Linked DNA regions of Oryzias latipes. The protein of the gene in region 2 purifies or fractionates together with the protein of the main gene of each other region. This does not show direct contact. Links are inferred from orthologs where the notes say so. Each region holds a gene or a part of one and is shown on either strand. Other genes may lie near its edges.

Evidence for each region.
Region 1: the proteins of poc1a (region 2) and nudc purify together in Homo sapiens (co-immunoprecipitation; 3 studies listed by BioGRID and IntAct, with this or other methods). This does not show direct contact. The link is inferred for Oryzias latipes from reciprocal best matches to the Homo sapiens genes POC1A and NUDC.

What each region holds. Positions count from the first base shown.
Region 1 is NC_019869.2:25,831,770-25,835,689, reverse strand, and holds the start of nudc (nuclear migration protein nudC), read right to left. Parts: upstream 2,602-3,920; 5' UTR 2,480-2,601; coding exon 2,405-2,479; intron 1,468-2,404; coding exon 1,390-1,467; intron 1,314-1,389; coding exon 1,101-1,313; intron 1,019-1,100; coding exon 944-1,018; intron 869-943; coding exon 755-868; intron 1-754. UniProt on the Homo sapiens protein: Plays a role in neurogenesis and neuronal migration. Necessary for correct formation of mitotic spindles and chromosome separation during mitosis. Necessary for cytokinesis and cell proliferation.
Region 2 is NC_019863.2:9,991,883-9,995,702, forward strand, and holds part of poc1a (POC1 centriolar protein homolog A), read right to left. Parts: intron 1,589-3,820; coding exon 1,319-1,588; intron 1-1,318.

The DNA.
Region 1 (3,920 bases), on a different chromosome or scaffold from region 2:
TTCAGTGACGGGGGCGGAGTCGGCCTTCAGTGACCGGGGCGGAGTCGGCCTTCAGTGACGGGGGCGGAGTCGGCCTTCAGTGACGGGGGCGGAGTCGGCCTTCAGTGACGGGGGCGGAGTCGGCCTTCAGTGACGGGGGCGGAGTCGGCCTTCAGTGACGGGGGCGGAGTCGGCCTTCAGTGACGGGGGCGGAGTCGGCCTTCAGTGACGGGGGCGGAGTCGGCCTTCAGTGACGGGGGCGGAGTCGGCCTTAAGTGACGGGGGCGGAGTCGGCCTTAAGTGACGGGGGCGGAGTCGGCCTTTAGTGACCGGGGCGGAGTCGACCTTTAGTGACGGGGGCGGAGTCGGCATTTATTGTCTGGGCGGAGTCGGCCTTTAGTGACGGGGGCGGAGTCGGCCTTAAGTGACGGGGGCGGAGTCGGCCTTAAGTGACGTGGGCGGAGTCGGCCTTAAGTGACGTGGGCGGTGTCGGCCTTAAGTGACGTGGGCGGAGTCGGCCTTAAGTGACGTGGGCGGAGTCGGCCTTAAGTGACGGGGGCGGAGTCGGCCTTAAGTGACGGGGGCGGAGTCGGCCTTAAGTGACGGGGGCGGAGTCGGCCTTAAGTGACGGGGGCGGAGTCGGCCTTAAGTGACGGGGGCGGAGTCGGCCTTAAGTGACGGGGGCGGATTCAGCCTTTAGTGACGGGGGCCTTCGTGTTCCTTTCCATGCGTTCACCATTTTATGTATTGTGTGTGTGAATCATGAAGAACTCACATCGACTTCAGACAGCGTCTGCGTCCACTTGTAGTTGGGCAGATCTGCTCCATTCCCAGAGTTTGGCTTCAGCTTTCCCTTGTCCTTCTCGTCCTCCTCTTCCTCAGAATCAGACTGAAACACAGAAAAAGCCAGAGATGAAGCCTGAGATGAAGCTGTCCTCTTCATCACCAGCAGAGCGCCACTCACCCCCTTCTCTTTGTCTGCCTTGTCCGGCGTTTTCTCTGCGTTTGCTCGTCCCTCCTCCTTTTCGTCGTCTTTTTGCTTTTAAAAACACAGAAAGGTGAACATCACAGCGGAACTTGTTTTCTTTAAATCAACCTTCATAAAGAATCAAAGAGTTTACTTTGTCCAGCTCAGACTGCAGTTTCTCTGCTTCTTCGTCTGTCAGTTCCTGAATTCTGGGTCCATCTTGGTTTTTCCTCCTCTCCTCCTCCTCCTCTGCCAGCTTGGCGGCTCTTTCAGCTTTCTCCTTCTTTTCCTTCTCCTGTCTCATCTGCTTCTCCCTCTGGGCCTTCATGGCTAACTTGTTGTGGTGATCGAAGGCTTCTTTGACCAGCTGAAAGAGGACAGAGAGGCTGGTGAACGGAGGACAACACGTCCGTCCATCTCCAACAGGCAGAAGCTCCGCTCACCTTCTCTGCTGCACCAGAGTCTCCTCCGATGAAGAAATCTGTTTTACGTCGGAGGAAGCTGAAGAACGTGTTCACTAACTGTTGAAGCAAAAGCAGGCTGTGAGCTCAGGCCAAGGTTTTCTGCAGAGGACGGTGCAGAGCTCTCAACCACAAAGCCTCTCTGTCCTCCACACCCAACTCACCTGGACACTTTGGGATTAAACCGTCGCCTCAGGCTTTAAATTTAAACATTCCAAATGTTTCAGAAAAAGTATATTTTTTCTATTTCCCCAGCAACGATTATTCCTAACAAAACCTTAACTTACCACACAAAGGGCAAAAAGACTTCTGCTACACACAATACAGTCAAATAGTCATTTTGATGTCATTTTTTCAAGTATCTGACATGAGGAATTTAACATTGAGGAACAGACAGAAATCCTATTAGGTTATTTTATAATTCAGATTTTAAAAATGAATCAATTCACCACTGAGGTTGATGAAAAACAGTCATTTAGTCCAGAAAAAGAACAAATATATGAATTTCCTTTTGAGAACATGGAATTGCTTTGCAGTCAGTAACTAAAGCTGCTAACTGGAGGCTGATTGCAGACTAAAACTCTGGACTTCTGACGTAAACATGCTCCAAGAAGGCTGAAAAAGCTGAACTTTAAGAAAGAGACAAATGTCTGGTCAATTATGATAAGGTTAAGATATTTCTAAAGTAAAGCTTATTTAAATTACTGGTTCTCAAGAGCAAAGTTTTGAAAGATGTTATGTCCATTACTGAGAATACACAGGTATAGTATCCGGTCAAAAAACATCAAATTGAAGGAAACTGAACGTTTAGTGGGGATCTCCGTAAGGAAACGACTTTTTCATAGCAGAATAGTTAAATGAGCTCAAAGCAATGTGGATTTGAAACTGAAAATCCTCCAGACTTCCTAACGGTGTCAATGTTGACCAGGTGCTGCGGCTCCTCAGCATTTCAGCCCATCATGATTAGCTTCGGCGTTAGCATCTCGGATCTACGCACCTCCTGCACTCCTCCTTCGTGCTGCTGCGCCATAACCAGCAACATGCCGTCATACTTCTCCTCCTCATCGCCCATGTTGGTGGTGGATTCAGAAAAAGAAGAAAGACTTTTGGTAGAAACAAGAGAAAACTTCCCTCGGCGCGGCAGTGAGAGGCTCTGATCACGCTTGGCACTTCCTGGAAACAAAACTCCGCCCATGGCCGATTTGACCAATTGGAGCAATCCCTTTTAAATGACAAGTGAAATGTCCAATCCGATCGAGCTTCCGCTCAGGCGGGACCGGAAGTTCCCTGCGCAGGAAGGAATCTTCTAGATTAAAAGTCTGACAGTTTTAACTATAGATAAATTCTATTTTTACTTCAAACATTTTTAGACGCTATAATTTTATATTCAAAAAATGTTTTCATGTTTTGGAAAATATACCTTTCTAAGTTTGTGTACGTATTAGAAAAAGGGTTAAAACCATGGTTTTGAGGAGGATCATTAAACTTGACATGTGCCACATGTTAGCCATGCTTAAAACAATGCATAGTTTATTTGTCAAATAAAAATAAATCATTTGCCGTAAAAGCTTTTTTAAACAGATCTTTCCAAACAAACTCACTGGTTAAAAGCAATGTCTTTATTAACAAAAACAGGAACTCCATGCACATCATTTATGAGCCAACATCCTTATTCTTTTATTTCTTTGAAAATGTCTGGAGTGTTTTAGTCCGAGTACCTGCTGTGGAGACATTTTCTTCTACAGATAAAACCTGTGGTTTATGCATCAGTAGAGTTTGTTGTTTACCACTGCAGCAGATGTGATGGGCAGCGGCGTGACGTCATCATACCACGGTTTAAATACAAACTATGTTTTTGGAAAACTTATTTTTCCAAAAGGTGAAACAGGGTTATGTTCTTCCAGCTGTAGCTCCAGGCTCACATGGAAAACCCCAGAGCGGAGGTCCTCTCATCATCTGCTCTTCATCAGGACAGGACAGGCAGGTTTCATGCTGCACTGAAATTCCATTTATTTTATAAAAAACGTAATAATAATAATGGATTGGACTTATCTGTGCTTTTCCAGACGGTAAAAGTGCTTATAATGGGTCCTTTATTCCTTCATGCTTGGTTGTAACTACTGATGTATCCACTGCTGCTCTGAGGCAGACTGACAGACAATTAAAAAAAAAAAAGATTAATTTCTCCTCTTCCTTAAACCTATATGTACAAACTTTTGTTCTTCTGCAGTTCTTCATGCCCACACTTCTACCATATTGTCTTGCCAAACTGTTTTATTCAAATAAAACCCTATTTTCTTTTGTGTTGCTTTTTAAAATTTAGGAATAGACTGAGTATTTATCTAAAATTCTTTGAAATCGGATGAAAAACATAATTCTTATAGTTTTTAGCAAAAAGTAAAAGAGTTCCCAGTTTCACTTAATTTATTTCACTTAATCAGAGTTTACAGATTTAAAAGCAACAAGTTATTGAAAACATTTTAAAGCAAAGAAAAACATAGAATGCAGACAAA
Region 2 (3,820 bases):
GAGATTGATAAGAAGCAGAGCTTTTAGCGTTTAAAGTGGTCGCTGTCCTGTTTTTGTACGAGGATCTATTTTTAGGGCTGCAGGCTCTGGTTTGCTCTGGCTTCAAACTGTGTCTGGCCTTCACAGACAGTCACACTGAGAGGAGAGGCAGACTAAACACAGCAGCATGGAGCGTCTTTGTAAAGGAAATCTATGGAACGAAAATAAAAGAGGGGGTCAATGTGCAAACTACTATAGAAGAGAAGCTACCAAAAAAAACTTTAAGTAACAAATGAATGAATAGGAAGAAAAACCTTTAATGTACCATATGTATCTGTGACGCAGCTTGTTGTAACTGATCAGCTGCTTCACTGATGGGGGATTTTTCCCTTCCGCTGCAGGGAATTCCTCTTTAACCTGTTACCTTTCTTTGTTTTTTTTTAGCGCCTTTAACTAGCTAAACTTCAGCTCTATTTTTTCCTGAGTTTGTGGAGATGGAAGTTGAGCTGCACACAGCGACCGGAGAGGTTGATGTTGTCGAAAAGTTGACAGGTTGTTGACAGGATTTTGATGTTCTTGTAGTGTTTATCATTTTTGCAAAGATGCTTAACTGTAACTCAATAAATAACAAAGCAATGAGAGGTAGAACATTTTTAAGTTGGTTTATCAAGGTAAACTATCTGCCTTTTGCCAAATCAAAGTCTCATTATTTCCCATGCCCTACACTGTAAAAACAGAATCTTAAAGTAAAGAGCCTTGTTTCAAGAAAGAATGTCTTATTTTCTGTCTTGCAAAAGAAACCATCTTATCAAGAAAGTTTTTCAAGAGTAAAATAGTCTTAGTTTGAAAAAAACATGTCTTAATGACTACAATTTTTACTCTAAAAATAAGAATTCTTGGTAAGACCATTGTTCTTACCCAATTGGCAGATTTTCTTTTTTTGCTTATTTAAAGAAAGTCTGTCAATTGGGGAAGATTGATAACTTATTTCTAAGGTGCCTGTTTTGCAGCACAAGAAAGAAATTATTCAAAACTTATATTTAATTTTTCTGCTTTTAGTGTTTCTTTGGGATGAAACAACATTTTATTTTAACAGTCAGCATAAAATTACTTCAAAAACATGTTGCTTTTACTGCTGCCCAGCATGGACTGGATCACTGGATCTGTTAAGACCAACTGCCGTAATTTCAGTCTGTATGGAGAATATAAAACACACACCTGTGGATTCATTTACTAGTGAAGAACCTAGTAGAGGTTCTGTGTCTGTGCTCTGAACCCACATCTATCTGGACGGGTCACAGGTTATTTGTCATGACAGCTTAGAACATCTTTTGCTTACCTGAGTAAGAATATCCAGCTGGCCTATAATGTGTTCCAGTGCGTTCGCTATGCCAGAAGGAACCTTTCCATCTGAAGTATGGCTGTCTGATTGATGGTGGCGTGAAGGCAGCTGTGTAGTCTGAGTTTGTCGGGTGGAAGAGGAGCTGATGCTGGGGTCCCTGTAGACTTGGGAATGAGCGGCTCTGCTGTGACTTCCATGACTGAAGCTCTGAGCGTGGGAAGCAGTTTGAGATTCCTGTCTGTTAACATGCTCTGCTGGTTCAGATGTCTGCAGAAAGAGAGGACAAACTTAAAGGAGGAAATAAAAAAGACCCCGCAATATTCCAGATGGGCTTCAGTCCTGAAAGGAAAAGATGTTAACTAGATATAGGTGTTTTCCATATGTTATCCACTGAGACACTAGAAAAATGTGCTAGAAACACTGAACGGGGGGAAACCGTTAACTAAAGGGTTAAAATGTACTTTTTTTTTTAATCTTACAAAAAAGGGGGGGAAAAATAAGTACACATGTGGAAAAATGTGTGTAAATCTGAATTTCTCAAGCCCATGAACAAAATGTGTGATTGACAGTAGAAGGCAAGACAGACGTATATGATTTATTATTATTTGATAACCCCTCTTAAAAAAGATTCAGGCTTTTTTTTTTTCTGGCCAATTTTGATCAAAACAGAGGAAAAAAAGAAAACTTGAAAGGATTCATGACATAAAAACTTGATTTGATTCACAATTTGATCCAAGTTGGTTTATTTGTTTTTCTCATTTCAAATCATGAAAGACTTTTTACTCAAGTTTTGTAACAAGCAAAAGTTACACTTGAAATAGTGAAAATAGTACCTTTTAGATAAAAAAAGATTCAAGATTCAAAGATTCAAAAGATTCAATGAAAAACAACAAAATTCCGATGCTACTCAATTGAAAAAGAAACAGTAGACATAAAAAGGATAAAAACCAACATAAAAAAGGAGCAACTAGAGCAGAAATAATAATGAATGAAAGGATTTTACAAATGAGTATTGCATCTTGTGGCTAAAGATCAATTAGATTTTGATTTTTAAAATACAGCTTTAAATGCCTTATGAATCTGAGGTTACAATAAGAGAGTGTAAATAAAGAAGGGTCATATTTTTAATGTTTAAGGGTGGATTTTCTTGGTTTATACAAATGTATTTCTTTTGTAGTTGAATGCAGGTTTGTTTATTTTTTTAAACGGTCTTCTGTCAAGCTGTGCCATAAGTTTATAAATCTAAAATCTCAGTTCTGTTTGCATAAAAACTTGGCCTCCAATTTGTATTTATTTATTTCTGCTCATATAATTGGAGAGCTCCATCCCACAGGCTTCTTTTTTATGCCCTTTTCTGTGAAATTACAGATATACTTGCCGCTCTACATAATCTGCGGTGTGGCTTCAACAGATCAATTACCAGCATAAAAAACACAAAGTATCTACGTAGAACCTGTAAAACCATTTTTTAAGAAGATGTAAATATGTAACTCATGTGCGGAAAAACCAGATGAATAAATTTGAACTCATCTTCTTTTCCTTTCGGGTTTTCCATTTGGGAGTCGCCACAGTGAATCTGCTTCCTCCATCTAACCCTGTCTTCTGAATCCTCTACTATAACACCAGCTACCTTCACGTCTTCAATCACTGCATCATATCCTCTTTGGTCTTCCTCTAGACCTTTTGCCTGGCAGCTCTAGACGCAGCATCCTTCTACCAATATATTCACTGTCTCTCCTCTGGACATGTCCAAACCATCTCAGTCTGGCCTCTCTGGCTTCATCTCCAAAACCTCTAACATGTGCCGTCCTTCTGATGTCCTCATTCCTGATCCCATCCATCTTGGTCACTCCCAAACAGACCTCAGCATCTTCATCTCTGCCATCTCCAGCTCTGCTTCCTGTCTTTTCCTCAGTGCTGCTGCCTCTAGGCCAAACAACATGGCTAAGTACATTATATAAATCATATAAGCTTAGTGACTTACATTTCTGTACTATTTCACACAGAAACCCGCAGAAACTCCTCAAAGAACATCACTCTCAAAGACCTTATGACCAAAACTTGGTAGACAGTTTTAGGTTTTTTCATTTTTGGTAGTCTTAGCCCATCCATGACTGGTTACACGCAGAGTCAAGCACTATATTAAACTCAGATGAGCTGTTGTAAATCTTCACCTGCCTCATCAAGTTTGTCAAAAAAACCTGTAAGATTTTTTTTGCACATTAAAATAAATAATAGGTAGAACATTAAAGGGATTAGAGGCTCACAGCAAGAAGGCTCCAACTCGCAAGTCCTGGCTGGGCGACCCGGAACAGACCACCAATGGGGGAGCTATCTGTGTGGAGTTTGCATGTTCTCCCCGTGCATGCGTGGGTTTTCTCTGGGGACTCCAACTTCATCCCACCATCCAAAAACATGCTGCATAGGTCAATTGGTTAATCTAAATTGTCCATAGGTGTTAATGCGGGTCTTCAGGGGTGTGTGATTTGTGGCCCTGAA